Linked DNA regions of Tamandua tetradactyla. The protein of the gene in region 1 purifies or fractionates together with the protein of each later gene. This does not show direct contact. Links are inferred from orthologs where the notes say so. Each region holds a gene or a part of one and is shown on either strand. Other genes may lie near its edges.

Region 1 (7,403 bases):
TAATCTCTAGTGGTGTGACCTTAGGCAAGTCGTTTAACTTTTTAAGCTTTAAATTTCCATCTGCAGAATAAGTTCCACAAAGGTACAGAGCCTGGCATGAAACTCAGTGCTCATGAGATGAATAAAGTTAGCCTGTGTTTGTTTCTTAATAAGTAATTACAATTGCAATAACTTTAAAAAGCAACAATAAGTAAGGTATGTTAAGCTACTACCAAATGCAAAATTCAGAATGCTTAGAATTGGTTATGAAAAACAAAGAAGGAATGACCTCTTTAGGAGGAAAAGAATAAAGGAGATGGAATAAAAAAAGAAAAATTAGTGTCACGATAAAGTATTAGAAACAAATGGAAATCTTCAACAATTTGTAGAATGCTGCCAAAAACATTTTAAAGCTCTTTAAACATCATATACACCATTTCATACCAGGTAACGCATTTAGTATTAATCCTTTTTTTAGTTTCATATGGAAGAAGTTTCTTCCATTATCAACAAAACCAGCATAGTAGGGGAACAGTAAGTAAATGCATGCATCTAAGTATGAACCATAATTTTCACTCTACCTAATACACTGTTTTGTTAGTTATTTTTAATATGAAATTAAACTGTTACCAACAACATGAATTTCATGTTAGTTTCTTTTAAAAACTGATCCTTGAGGCATGATTCTAGTTTTTTTTTAATAGTGTAAGCTCTGGCTGGGATGTTGCCCATGGTTTCAATTAATGTTAATAGGATCAGTATTAGCATTTTTCTCTGTTTAGCTAACCTTCTAAAATACTTCTTAAGTTTTCAGTCAATATTTTTTCTTTTTTTTTCTAATTAGAGAAGTTGTTGAAAAATCATGTATAAAATGCAGAGTTCCTATATCCACCCTATAATTAACAGCTTGCATTAGCATGCTTGCATGGACCATTAGCATTGTTACAAATGATGACAATAACATTTTTTTATAATTGTACTATTAATTATAGTCTATGGTTTACATTAGGGTTCAGTTTGTGCTGTACAGTCGGTATTTTTTTAAAAGTAAGAAACAAAGCTTTAAAAGTTCGAAATTACTAGAAATGTCCTTGAAATAAACAGATGGATATTAATCAGTAATGTTTCCTCATAATTCAAGGTTAATTAAGCAAAGTAATTTAATCGCTTATGTGCAATAATTAGAATACATTTACATTACTCAAATATTTGACTATAATAATATTCAAAACCAGAAGCCTTCTTTAAAGAGGAGCACGTGAGTGCTTTTGTACCTACCCATATATGAAGCCTTACTTTAAGTTCGAGGGCAGTGACTCAGCTTGAAAGAATATGCAACACCCCTCTCATTCCTTTAAGAAAAATTCTTTCATTCTGAATTAGGGAGAGAGATTCCTGAAAACACCTGAAATCATGCCTACTTAATTTTAAAGGCTGCAAAAATGTGAGTTACTTTTTACACTGCTACATTAAAAAAAAAAATCAGAGGGACAAAAGAAGCAGAGGCACTGAACTCTAGTTTTGCTCCACTTTCTCTGAGGGGTTGAACAGGTCAGGTTTACTAGTTTTGTGGAAATACACATGGAATCATTACTTCTCTGTTGTTCCATTTGTCTCATTCTGAGCAGAATCCCAGAAATGGTTTCTGTGTTTGCCATCCACGAAATCGTGCATGGTGAATGTCTCCCGCTTCGACTCTTTTCTGGGTAGTAATAATAATAAATGCCTCAGTTCCTCAGTTGCTAAGAGAATACTGTGGTTATTAATGTACGTTTCTTGGCAAATGGATACCTCTTGCTTTGACATATTAATCAAGGGAGATAAAAACACACATGCAGTGCTTCTTAAACTTTATGGCTCACATATTTATTTATACGTGATAACTATTGAACAAAATTTGCGCACAATTTGGGTTCCTTACGTGCCTTCCTAAGATTTTCATCCAAGCACATCTGCATGTGATCGAAATTTAGAGACATAAACGTTTACAGGAAAGAAAAGAGCATTTCCAAAATTTATTCTAAATGATTTAGAAATTCTATACACACCTACCACTATGTGATTTAAAGAAATCTTGTAACAAGTAAAACAGAAAAACCGACTATGTTTACAAGCTTTCAGGCCACAGTGACTATCACCTTTCAAGACGGTGTCAACAGTGTCTTCTACGTAACTAGGTAAAAGAATGGCTGAGTACAGTACGCGCGGTCACAGAGAAAAGGAAGCTGTAGTGCCTCGATTCCACAAAATGCTCCCAGCTACTGTTCACCTCTCAGTCTTGCATCTGTTCTACTCTCTTCTCTAATCTTTGCTATAGGATGGATTCCTGGAGCTCACCACCACTCCTTCCTTTGCTCTGAAGCGTTTTAGAGCAAGGAAATTAATCACTTCACTTTGGGGGTGGGGGGGGGGAGAGACTGGAAACTGCTGCCTCCCTTAAAATGCACAATGGGAAAGGAGTAAAGTAACAAGCATCTGTGAAGACCATATATAGGCACAGAGAAGGTTCTAGAAATTCTGCGGACCCGAGGTTTCAGTCTGTAATCTCCAACAGTGTCACTGTAAGTTTTATCTTTTCTGATTTTTCTCCACTCCCAAACGAACAGGTCTGTGAATGACAATGTGACCACAGAGGTTTATCTTAAATCGATTCAGTTTTCTCTCAGAGAAGGAGAAGAAAATTCACAGAAACAAGTCTCAAGCAAGCACTTCTCTCGCAGCGCCTCAGCTGGCCTGCCCCGAAGCTGCGCGCAGGCTCGGACCCGCCGCTCGGCCTCCGCCCGCGAACCGCCTGCGCGGCCCCCAGGGCGCCCCCCGCCCGCGCGGCCCCACGCGCCGCCCTCACCTGAGCTCCAGCTGGTCCAGGCTCTCCAGCAGGCGGCTAGAGCGGTCGGCCATGGAGGAGGAGCGGCAGAAGCGCCCCTCGTTGGCTTTCGCGTTGATCTTCGCCTGAGCCATCTGAGACTCCGAAAGGGGCAGCCAAGAGGTCACCGGCCCTGGCAGCGGCGAGTCGAGTGTTCCCGCGGCCGCAAGCGTTGCCGTCACCGCGCGGGGCGCCCGCCTCCCTCTGACGCCCGCGGGGGGCGGCCCGGGAGGCTGTGCCGACACTGCCGCTGCCACCGCCGCGTGGCCGAGAGCAGGCGCCCCTCGGGGCTAGGGTCGGACGGGCCCGGGGCCTGGGTGGGGGCTGCGGCGGCTGGGGGCGGGGAGGACTTGCTAGCCACTGGGGCCTGAGGAGCAAAACCAAGCAGCTTCAGAAACACCTGAAGTGACGGACAGAGAAAGCGGGAAGGACCTAATGTGATCTGCTGGTTCTTCTCCCGGAACCCTGAAACAACCCGAAACCAGTGTGGAGACCACAAAACACCACCCCTCGGCCCCAGTAGTAAGCCCCGATTCTCCTTGCAGCCTGAAAGTACCCCTCTTCCGCCCCCGCAGCGTTCCTGGAAGCAGGCTGTGAATGTAGTGCTCAATGATGGCTTCATTTAGTTTCTCCCGGCAAGAACAAAAGTCCTCGGACATGAGCAGAAGGCACTGAGATACAACTCTGTCCTGTCACACCTCCGATTAGAATAAGCCTAAATACCAACAGTGAAGCTATAGAGAAAAAAAGAAAAGGCTACCACGCTTTTTTTCTGTCTAGCGGGATGTGGGACGTGTTAAAAGAAATAACAAAGTACAGTTACCATGGCTAAGAAATTTAAAATGGAGTCAGGAGCTCATTACGGAGCGTTACTCTTTTACAGGGCTCTGCCAGAGATCACGAACTGCCAAAGTATGCTAAACTTCAAGCAACTATGTTCTTCAAAATCCTAAGGACATCCAGACACATAAACCGAAAGATAAAGAACTCAGTAAACTATTAACCTGAAGGACATGTGGAGTATCCCAAATGTCCAACTACAAACAACTTATCTAATCTTTTCCTTTAAAAACCCTTGTCTGGAAATGCCAAGAGGGACACGATTTGGGTTGCTACCTAAATATATGCTCCCTGAATTGCAATTCTAATACCCCAAATAAACGCTTCTGTTGTCTCGCAACTTAATTTATTTCTTGGTTGACAGAAGCAAAGTGAATTTATACTTCATTTCTACCCATTCAATGAAGGGGTATTTAATGACTTTTTTTTCTCTTTATTCAAAAAAATTATTCCTTTGGGAATCTGAGTGAAATAATCGGTATTAACTAAAAAAGCCATTTCACATCCAAATATTTTAACTTAACAATAATGACAAGATTGGTAGGCTACTAGGTCAGACACCATAAAGATCAGGAAAAGATGGATAGGGTTAGGAATGCAAAGACATGTCTACTTAAAGGGAAAAAAATGTTTTGTTCCCATCTCAGTTTCATAAGCAAGGAATAAACATGTAGGAGGCACAGAAAATGAGTTTAAAGCTGAATTACAGACTTTAGAGGTCAAAGCCATTTAAACACATGAACAGAGCTGAGACCCTTAGGTCTGGATTCTAATTCTAATTTATTCTATATATTAATAAACTTCTGGTGTAGTGTATGATTTGATCTCAGTAATTTGGAATCCAAAGACATTTTTTTAAGGTTTGAAAGTCTATCAAGTAACTTATAATCGTTCTGGACTCTTTTTTTTCATATCCTAGATCCAATCCATTAGTAAAGTCCATCAGCTGTATCTTCGGAATACACCCAGATTCTTCTCCCCAACTTCACTGCCACTAATGTAGTCCAAGCATCATCAATTCTCACTTGGGTTACTGCAAAACCCTCCTATGTGATCTACCTGCTTCTACTCTTGCCTCACCTGTCTATCCTTAATACAGTAACTACAGTAATACTTTTAAATAAGGCTGATCACACTTATTCTCAAAAACCTTCTATTGCTCATCTCAGAGTACAAGTCCTTAGAAAGACCTCGACCCTAAATGTGCAGCTCCCTTTATTTCTCTGACCTCATCTCTTATTACTCTCCTAGCTTACCCTGCTTCAGCCACACTAGCTTTCTTGCTATCCTATGAATATGCCAAAGTCATGTCTAGGCCTTTTCACTTAGTTCCTTCTACCTGGAACACTCTTCCTTATGTATATTTGCATGATTCGGTCCTCACTTTGTTCAGGACTTTGCTCACATTTCCCTATCTGTGAGCTCATTTCTGATCATCCTATTAAAAATAGCAAGCCTCCTACACACCAACCCCTATACTACCCACCATCCTTTCTTTCCCTTCTTTATTTTCCTTCATTACATGTATCACCATCAGATATACTTTTTTAATTGCTTATTATCTATGACTCTATCAAACCTCCTCTCCCCAATGTGCACTCCACAGAGGGGGCTCTGTTTTGCTCACTGGTATATCCCAAGTGCTTAGAATAGTTCCTGACACATAAATAATAAATAAATAAATAAATAAATACTTCATGAATGATGAAATGAAAAAAAAGCATTTTTGATAATAACCCATAAAACTTTCTGTAAGGTAATCCATTGATTATACCTTCTTCTTGGGTCTAAGTTAATTGCAAATTATGATGTAATTTTTAAATGATTTTTAATTGCTTAACAAGTAGAAATACAATTGGTGACAATTATTGATTAAAACTTGAAACACCACAATTACATTTTCTTTAGGATCATGATGAATATCCCCTTCTTGTCATATCAAAAGCTTGTTATTCTCTGCCATACACACCACAAAGCTTCTGAATAATCAGTGTACATCACACCCATGTGTGGAACCACTGGAAAAGAGGTGCTGCCTCCTATTGCTCCACATCTGCTTTAACCACTCTTCTTCCTGTAATGTCCCTTCTGTTCCTCACTATTTAGCAAGCTCCTGAAGATATCTTGATGATACAACCCATTGACTACCTCTAAAGACTTGGTTGACAACTTTAACTTACAAATTAAAAGCATGATGTGGTCATTTTGGAAAGATGATTGGTAAATTCTCATCCTATATGTCTTAAAAATACAAGCAGGGAAGAACAAAATTGACATCTTAAAAAACACTGGTTTCCAGTGTGGACTGAAAAGACAAGAGCAATTAAAGCATCAGTAATCCCATTTCACAATAAAATATCCAGTGTCGCAGAGAAAGAACAAAATGCTAGCTGTGGCATTTTTTCATCTTAAGAAAGCTTTAGATTTATAGAAATATTTTAAAATTTGGTGAGAAATTACTACTCAAAACTTTTAGGGGTAGGACATTTCTGGTCAAAAAACACGAAACATATACACAAATAGAGGTATGGCAAGCTCTTCATAGTCTTCTACTTATGTAATGTGTTCTACTATTTATAATGGGGCTTCAACATTGAAAACTTAAATATATAATATCAAATGTAGGAAACTGAGATTAATCCAATGAATAATTCAAATGAAAATACTTCCATATGTAATAAAAAATTTAAAGGGTAAGGAATATTCCTGAGTAGACTTCATTATTTTTGAAGAATAAAAAGTTTACACAGCTATGTAAAAAGAAAAAGGACTAAGATTATTAAAAATAAATTTAATTTTATGCAAATATTTTAGCATTCCTTTTAAACAACAGATCATAGAAGTCATATAAAAGTTTAAGCAGGTAAAAGGAATGGAAAAGGCTGCCTTTTAATTATCGCAAAAAAAAATTAGTTACGTTTTTTCATCCCAGCAATGTGTTATATCTAATTAAAGCAGAAATATACACTTCAGTAAAACTCACAAAAAACACTGCTGGTAAAAATTTTAATCTGTTTCCATGATCAGTTTTCATTACTCTTTTCTAATAACCACAAAGATATGAAAGATATATCACATGAGAAGTAGAATTTACAGGAAATCTGAGCTATAGCAACTTATTTATATTCATTTTCACTCCTAAAAAAATAAAACTAGAATCATCTGTACAGTACAAAAAAAATTAAAGACTAATGATATTTGGGAAACATACAGACCATAACCAAGAGCTTTCCTTTCTTTTTTTTAAGAATCCTTTTAATCTAAATATAGGCATTCAAAATTAACTGGGAAACTGTAATTTTTATATTAGATTACATGATTTTTATCTGTTAGCACAGTATTCTGTGCTTTCTGTATATCTGTGTACAACTACACACAAACAGAAAGAAAATATCAGATTTTGAACATGTGAATGCAAAAGCATGTTCTCAAATACACTTGTGCTAGTAGATTTCTTGTCTCTTTTAGAAAACAAACTCAAGAATTCATTATCCTGAGAGTATCTTCAAGGCCACTTGATGTTGTGTGGTAATATCTTTAATTACATTTCCTCAAGACTTCTTCTAATAGCTTCTTCTAATTCCACATCTGCATTAAAAAACATACAGAATTTTAAGCTTAGGACATAAAACTAATCAACATGTGCTTTACATGTAAGTCTCATCAACCACTTTCATATTTTCAGGAAAGAAAGGTAAACCAAAAGGGAAAAATTTAGGAT
Region 2 (7,558 bases), about 41 Mb from region 1:
CATACTAATCACCAATTCCTTACTATATGGCCCTGAGGTGCAAGCCCTTCTGCAGATGAGGATGTTTAGGTACAAAGTATACATGGCTCCTGTAACTGCTTTCCTTTTTTTGCATTCCTGTGACTTACATTGTATACATTATTTACAAGATGAGTCAAATTTGCATGTACTAAAATACAAAGTCCCAAACAGTGTCAAAGTTCCTGCCATCCCTTCCCCCTGGTTACCACTCACATCCTGCTATTATTTTCATAGATATAACAGTAAAAATGGACAAAACCAAAAAATTATCTCCACCAACTTGATCAAAATATGTTGAGTCAGAAATTCTCTGTAGTAATACTCTTGTAATTACAGAAGGGGATTCCTTTGTCAGCTACTCATCTGACTAGGCTGTACTTATATTTCATCACTATATATGAGCAGATATGTTGATTCAACAGGTTGTCATTCAATAGTCCATCAATCACATCTCTTTTTATCAGTAACTCCTATGTTTATCTTAAGCTACTGCCTTTTTTGCATATTAGCATGAAAGGCTCCCAGCACACAGGAAGCTGTCATTTCTTGTTCTCCTAGTAGGCATGTTTCATGGTAATCATGAAAAAAACCTTAATTAGATGGCGCAGATGCAAATATTAAAAAGATTCCTGGACATTACGTAAAAAGTTATTAAAAATGTTTAACACTTTTTGGAGCAACAAATGTATAAATACAACCTCTACAAGGAGCTAGTTATTTTACCACTAGTGTCTTCCATGAATAACCACAGTTATTTTATGTTACAATTTATAAACTATTGGTGAGTTTTGCAACAAATTTTAAGCCATTAAGGAATCACTTAAGTTCCTTAAGAGTAAGTAAAACTTTTTCCCTGGCACGTGTTTTCAGCCCCCATTCAAGTTTAGTAATTTGCACTGTAAATCTGATTCTATCTACTCCTATGTCTAAAAATAAACGATAGATTTAATGGTGCTGTTACATACACCACGCAATGTAGGATAGTAGAAGTGGGGGGAAAAAATCATATTCCAAACAAGCAGGAAAAGCTGTACTTAAGAGCAAAATGTACAAACATGCATCCCATGCCTAACCACTCTCAGGCATGTTTTCTTTCTGCCACCCCTCCCCCACCGGTAAATGCTAACTTTTCTAGAACTCTCAGTGATCATTTGGGAGAATTGCCATAAAATCCCATGATACAACCCAACATAAATGCCGTTTTCCTTAAGACAAAGCTGCCCTATTTCCCTAGACTATATACTTTTTAACATGGCGAGAACATGCAGCACCAAAAATCAGAATTACTAAAATACACCAATGTAGCATGAGTCTTACTTAACCAAAATGAAAATGAATGCCACTGGGAAACCCAAAAACTCACTCTCTGTATCGTCGATGTGTAACCAAGATATTATAAGTTGTTTTAGGTAAGTAGATAAAAGCACCACCAGGGCCTTCTATTACCCAATCTAGTGCAGGAGTCTTTAGTAAAAAAGGGGGAGGAAGACTACTTAATTATATACCTGGGGGGAGGGGGGAGATAAACCATTCAGACTAAAAATAACTCACCATTTCACCCACCATATTTTATTAGCAAGCTTGTTTAGACCAGCACAAGATTCTTGTTTGGAAAGCAGGAAAGCCAACAGAAAACTTCCCTAAGTCAACTGTAAATCACATAGGTTCTAACACCTCACTTTTGATGCTGCACAGTCCTAGGTTTTAAAAGCCACCTCAAGACACTCGGAAGATCTAATTTTCAACTAGGCTGCAACACTTCTCCTTTGAAATCGCCAAATTATTTTTAAGTGAATGTGAGCAGATATCCTAACAAAGGGAGCATTTTCTAAAAAGCCATTACCACCCCTATTTTACATGTAGCACACCATTTTCACAACAAATTTAATCTCGGTCGCCACCGCAAAGTGATGCCTGTTTCAGCAAATTAGGAACTTCCAAAAATACTGAACATGTTAATACATGCATGGCCTCCCTCGAGCTGCCATTTAAGATCAATACTTCACTTGCACAAAAGTCTGCTTCTGTTCAGGAAAAAAAAAAAAACGGTATCTTTTGCAAAAGGGGAAGTTACCGCGAAACCACCCTCCCAACGTGGCCTTTCCACCGTCAGAAAATGATGGGACTCTGTGCCACCCAAAACTTACCAGGAAGCTGGCAATAACTTTGCCAATTCTACACTTCTGAACCCAACTTCAAAGAGGGTCTAGCACATACCTCCTTCAGACGATACAAAGCACTAAGTTCCCGAGAAGCCCGTCCCCCAGCGCGGCCAGGCGGCCGGCGCGCCCCTCCCCCGGCCGGTGCCCCCGCCCCGGACGCGCCCCCCCCCCCGGCCGCCCGCAGCCCCCCAACACGAGGGCCGGGGCCGCGCCCGAGAAGGGGGCCGGCTCCCATCACTGCTGGAGGTTTAACCCAATAACATGCACGGAAAAGAGCTTTCTCCTCCGCTAAAAATAGGCTTATAAAGGAGTCGGCCTCATGATGGCTCCTTGATTCAATTTGCAGCAAATTCTTTCCCTGAAAGCCTCTCCCCCCCACCATCACACACACATAGAAAAAAGGGGGTGTAAATGCACGGAGGGGGGAAGGCGGGGGGTGAGGCCAAGGCGCACATTTTCGGGGACAACAACCAAAGGGTGAGGATCCCCCCGAGAACAGGGGAGGGTAGGGGCTGGGCAGGCACGTGAGCACCGCAAAGAAGCCAGCCAGAGGAGAAAAGGCGGGGGTGGGGGCGCCCTAAACGCCCTCCCTCTCCTCCCCTCCCCCACCCGCACGCCGGCTCCCCGAAGGGCCAAGTTAAAGAACCCAGCGTCCACTCGCGCCCATCCCCCCCGCAGCCGCACGGCCTGGCGCGACTCCCCCACCCCCCGCCGCCTCCGCCCGCGCCCCCCCCCCGGCCCGGCCCGCCCCCACCCCAGGGTCGGGGCCCCCACATCTTACCTGGACCAGGGCGGCCGCCGACGGCGCTCCCCCCTCCCGGGAATGGAGGCGCAAGGAAACTCCCCTCCCAGCCGCCGCCGCCGCCGCCGCCTCCAACCACCCCCAAAATAACCCCTCCGGGGGGTGAGAGGCAATTATAACCCCGGCGAGCGCGGGGCGCGGGGGCTGGGCGCGGGCGGGCGGGCGGGGGCGGGGAGGCGGCGCGGGTCCCCAGGTGGCGAGCGGAGGTGCTCCCGCCGCGGGGGGGGGGCGGGGGCGCGCACGGCCGGCGGCGGGGGGGGGGGGGCGGCGCGCGGGGGCAGGGCGCGAGCGGGCCGAGGAATTGAGGCAGAAGGGAAAAGCTGTTACTAAGGGAAAGAGCCAAACGGTTCGGAGCAGCCAACGGCTCCGCCACTCCACACCGGGGAGAGGGAGCGGGGACCAGCCAGGCGCAAATGAGCTCGCGAGGCCCGCGGCGGCGGCGGCGGCGGCGGCGGCGGCCGCGCAGCAAAACAAACCCGGGCGGCCTGCGCGGGGCGGGCGGGGGCGGGGAGGGGGAGGGGCGCCGGCGGCAGCGCGGCGGGGGGGCGGGGGGGGGCGCCGGCGGCCGAGCTCCTCTTCCCCTCCCCGCCCGCTGCGGCGGGGCTGGGGGCTGGGCGGCTGCGGCGCCGTCTCGGAGGAATGCAGCCCCGCGGCGCCGCGGGGGCACCGGGCGCCCCGCCCCCACCGTCCCCCACCGCCCGGGCGTTGGGCGGCTTTGGGTGTTGGTCGCGCGGCCCGAGGCCCCGGTGGGGGCGGGGCGCCCCTGGGTGCCGGTGCGCACTCGTGGGCACGTGCGGGGCGCGCGGCGCACGCATCCGGGGGACGTTGGTTGGGGGAAGGCTCTGGGCACACCTTTGTGTGCGTCCGTCCGCAGGGTTCTCGGAAGCGTACCTGCAAAGGTGTTATACCTGTGATGAGCGATATTTTTAACAAACGTAATCCAGAGCGTGGGATCTGTAGAGAAAACACACACATACACACACACACACATACACACACACACATATACACACACACACACAAGGTTTTTTTTGATACCAAACACAAAGCTGTCGTTGAAGTGTTTATGCCCAGATGTACTGGAGAATCAAACATACCGTGGGATTTACCGTGGGGTGGGTCTGATTGAAAGGGTTGGCCGGTCAGTTCTCATTTTTCAAAGATAAAATAATGTAACTGAGTGTTGGCTAAATATGTTCCTGTGCGGCATCCTCGACGGCACATGTTTATGCGCTGTGTGCACTTTGTGCGGGGTGTAGCACATCAGGGCAGCTTATTAAGTCTAACTTAGGTGAGTGATAATGTGACAGTGTGATTGCAGAAGGGAGGCGCCTCACAGTTTTTAAAACAAATGTGGCATTAATCTTTCTAATGCTCTCAGAAAGCAGGAATGGGGTTTTGACCTTTGTATAAGCCTGGAACATTAAAAGCAGCTTCCCTTTGATTTTAAAGTATGACTTGAAAGCAGTCTTTTTCTTGTTATTTTCAGTGATTACTGTCTTCAAAGCAAAATAATACTTTTGGCCGCCTTCTTAGGTGAGCGTTCTGTTTTTATACTTTCATCACAATATTTGCGAATAGGTGTAGTGGTTATTTTACGGCAATAGTCTTCTCCTGTCCTATGAGAGACCTAAGTTTTCACGTCAAAGAGGGAAAAATCATCACTTGAAGTGGTTTCTACAGGACTGAGTCCCGGGTGGCCTGATAAGCGGGATGTTTAGAGCAGGTGCTTTTTTTCTTTGGCCCAGTTTCCCCCGTGAGCCCCTGCCTAATGGGGAGCGGCCCAAGGCCTTTCCTGGCCGGCATAGGGCGGGGGTGGGCAGGAAAAACCGAAGAGAAAGGCAGCGGGTTTGGAAACTCCCTCCCAACCAGGAGAGAGTTCAAAGCCTATCAGTGGTGTGTCCTTAGAGCTATTTTCGTATATGAAAGAGGGAATGTTAGATTAAACAATGTCACCCGATGGGAATTTAGATAACTGCAGGTTTCCAAAACACTGTGTGCAGGGTACAGGCAAACAGCACAAAAAAAGCAAGTTTCACATTTCAGGAGGACTCTAAAGGTGAGGCCCATCTATCACAGAACTCTTTTGGAAGCGATGAGAGTGAAGTATCTTTCTATTTAAATATATATATATATCTTTTTAAGAGTTGATTAATGACGTGTATGTCACTAGCATTTCTGTTCTGTAAGTAAAGTGACTCAATACGATTAGGGTTCATTATCTCAGCCACCCAATGAAACGAATCCATTGGCCTAGATTGTTTTTCAGGTTTGACGTTGTGCCACTCAGGGGTCTTCTCCAGAAAGCTGCTGCTAGAAACTGAAGCCACCCTTCCAGTGAATGAGGACTTCCCAACCTTAAAAGGATACTCTCCAAATTGGGGGCCCCAGCCTTATCCTCCCGCATAATGTCCCTATTCCTTACCCCACTCCCTTCCTTAAGGGACATATGGTCCAGGGCTTCAGGCGCCAAGGTTTTGCACCCTATGGCCGCCTCCTCCCCTAACAAGTTGTTTGGTATTAACTGAGCCTCATCTCAAGGATAAGAATAACCCATACATTTGCTTACTGCATCATAGTTTACAAGATATTTATGCGCATAAATTACTACATTTGCACACCACAATAAAAATCACCAAAGGTGGGAACTTATGCTGTTCACTGCAGAGAGAACTGGAAAGAGAACCTTTGAGCAAACGATGCACCTAAATGTAGAAAAACCTCGATTCCCCTACGAAAGGGGTTTTTAACCACGTTCTGGTCTATTGATTCCTATACTTTAAGACCCTATCTAGGATGACAAAATGCCTTAAACATGAAATAAATAAGCTGCCGTACGAGGTCATATGTGTAGTTTATCTCTGTCCATTCCAGTGCATCTGGTAGATCAAGCAAAAATTCGACACATGGGGTGAGGTAAGGACAAAGAGAAGCAAATATTGTTAATAATTTTCAGGGTTTTGTCCTAATCTAAAAACTGTCCTTATGCTTTGACTATAAATGTTAATATGTTTCTAGAAAAGAGAAATTACTCTGTTACTAAGAAATTCTAAAGCAAAGGGACACATTATTAAGAAAGTTCTCTTGAACCTTCTAGCTAATTACCCAACAGATACCTCATACTGGTAACTGTTACCAGAAGTTACGTATGTGTTGTAAAATGACTAAACACACCCTGACTTGTTTTACATCACTACTATTACACCCGGGGGGATGCGGTACCACAAGATAGCCTACACCTGGGCAACTTTCATGGCTCAGGAAATAGAATGTTTTAAAGTAGCTTCATCCCAGCCTACAGGAACTCATTACTATGTATATGTATTTCAAGGCCACCATGATCTTTTAAATTGTTTACATTAGCCAGTCCTATGTAATTAAAGTGTTCAAAACAAGCTTAATAGCATGAAAAGGATATCTGATACCCCAAATATTATCCTGATGCTATAACTGTGTTTATATTCTGCACTCACCCCAAACTCAGTGGCTTTGTGTCCGTAGCGTTCACCCCCAGGCATCCTGCAGATGCCCTGTGATATTTGTGTTTCATTTTTACTCAACGTGTGCAATTCTTTGTCCGTGGCTCTTCAGCTACCAGTTTCTGCCATCTGAACGGATGTGCATCTCAGCCACACATCTCGCCATCTCAGCACACAAGCTCCCTTCCTCCATCTGTGCTTAGCATGCTGCTTATGACCTTCCCTCATCAGTGTGACCTTTGTCATAGTTTTCCATGCCTCTGTGACCTGATTTCATTACAACAGTGAACTCTACTTATCTTAATCTAAATTACAAAAGAAACACGCAACCATCTTGGAAGTATTTATGCCACTTGGGTGATGGAAATGCAGGGCTTATCTTGGGTTTGTGATTCAGTGAGAATGGAAAACTGGGCGCATACACATTATATTGCTGCCCTAGTCTCTCACTCACTTTCTCAGGGCATTGCATTATGCCAATGGTTTTGCTTTTCATTCATTCAACAAATATTTATCTTTTATCAAACAAGATAGAAGTTTCTCTTTTATGTGACATACCCATGTAAACAGTCCAGTGCTGATAGACTGAGATTGGGCGGGCAAGGGTGGCTCAGTGGCAACAGTTCTTGCCTGCCATGCCTTAGACCTGGGTTCATTTCCCGGGTGCCTGGCCATGTTAAAAAAAAAAGAGTGGGATTACTTGCTCTCTCAAAATAGAGCTTCCACTCAATGATGTAAGAAGACTTCTCCAGCTCCTACCCGCACACTCAAATTCTAGCCGTGAGGCCCAGAAGCAGGGGAATGAGAGCTCGTCCCTTGCCTTGCAGGGCATGTCCTGGAAGTCGCACTTGTCACTTCCACTCGCACCCCATTGGCCAGACCTTAGTCACATGCTAAAACTGCTAGTAAATCAGAAATGACAACCAAGCTTAAGTAGAAGAAGGAGAAGAGGGACTTTGGGGGGTGCCTTATTTTATAGGGGTAATTTGGAGAAGGCTGTTCACTGAAGGTGACATGTGAACAGAAAAGTAAAGGAAGTGTGGGAGTACACCTTGCAGACATCGAGAAAAGGAACAATCCAGGTAGACAGAGCT

Evidence for each region.
Region 2: the proteins of BAG2 (region 1) and TBL1XR1 purify together in Homo sapiens (affinity purification with mass spectrometry; 3 studies listed by BioGRID and IntAct, with this or other methods). This does not show direct contact. The link is inferred for Tamandua tetradactyla from reciprocal best matches to the Homo sapiens genes BAG2 and TBL1XR1.

What each region holds. Positions count from the first base shown.
Region 1 is NC_135331.1:116,192,854-116,200,256, reverse strand, and holds the start of BAG2 (BAG family molecular chaperone regulator 2), read right to left. Parts: upstream 3,025-7,403; 5' UTR 2,938-3,024; coding exon 2,825-2,937; intron 1-2,824. UniProt on the Homo sapiens protein: Co-chaperone for HSP70 and HSC70 chaperone proteins. Acts as a nucleotide-exchange factor (NEF) promoting the release of ADP from the HSP70 and HSC70 proteins thereby triggering client/substrate protein release.
Region 2 is NC_135331.1:75,025,085-75,032,642, forward strand, and holds the start of TBL1XR1 (F-box-like/WD repeat-containing protein TBL1XR1), read right to left. Parts: upstream 3,004-7,558; 5' UTR 2,965-3,003; intron 2,293-2,964; exon of another isoform or gene 2,169-2,292; intron 1-2,168. UniProt on the Homo sapiens protein: F-box-like protein involved in the recruitment of the ubiquitin/19S proteasome complex to nuclear receptor-regulated transcription units. Plays an essential role in transcription activation mediated by nuclear receptors.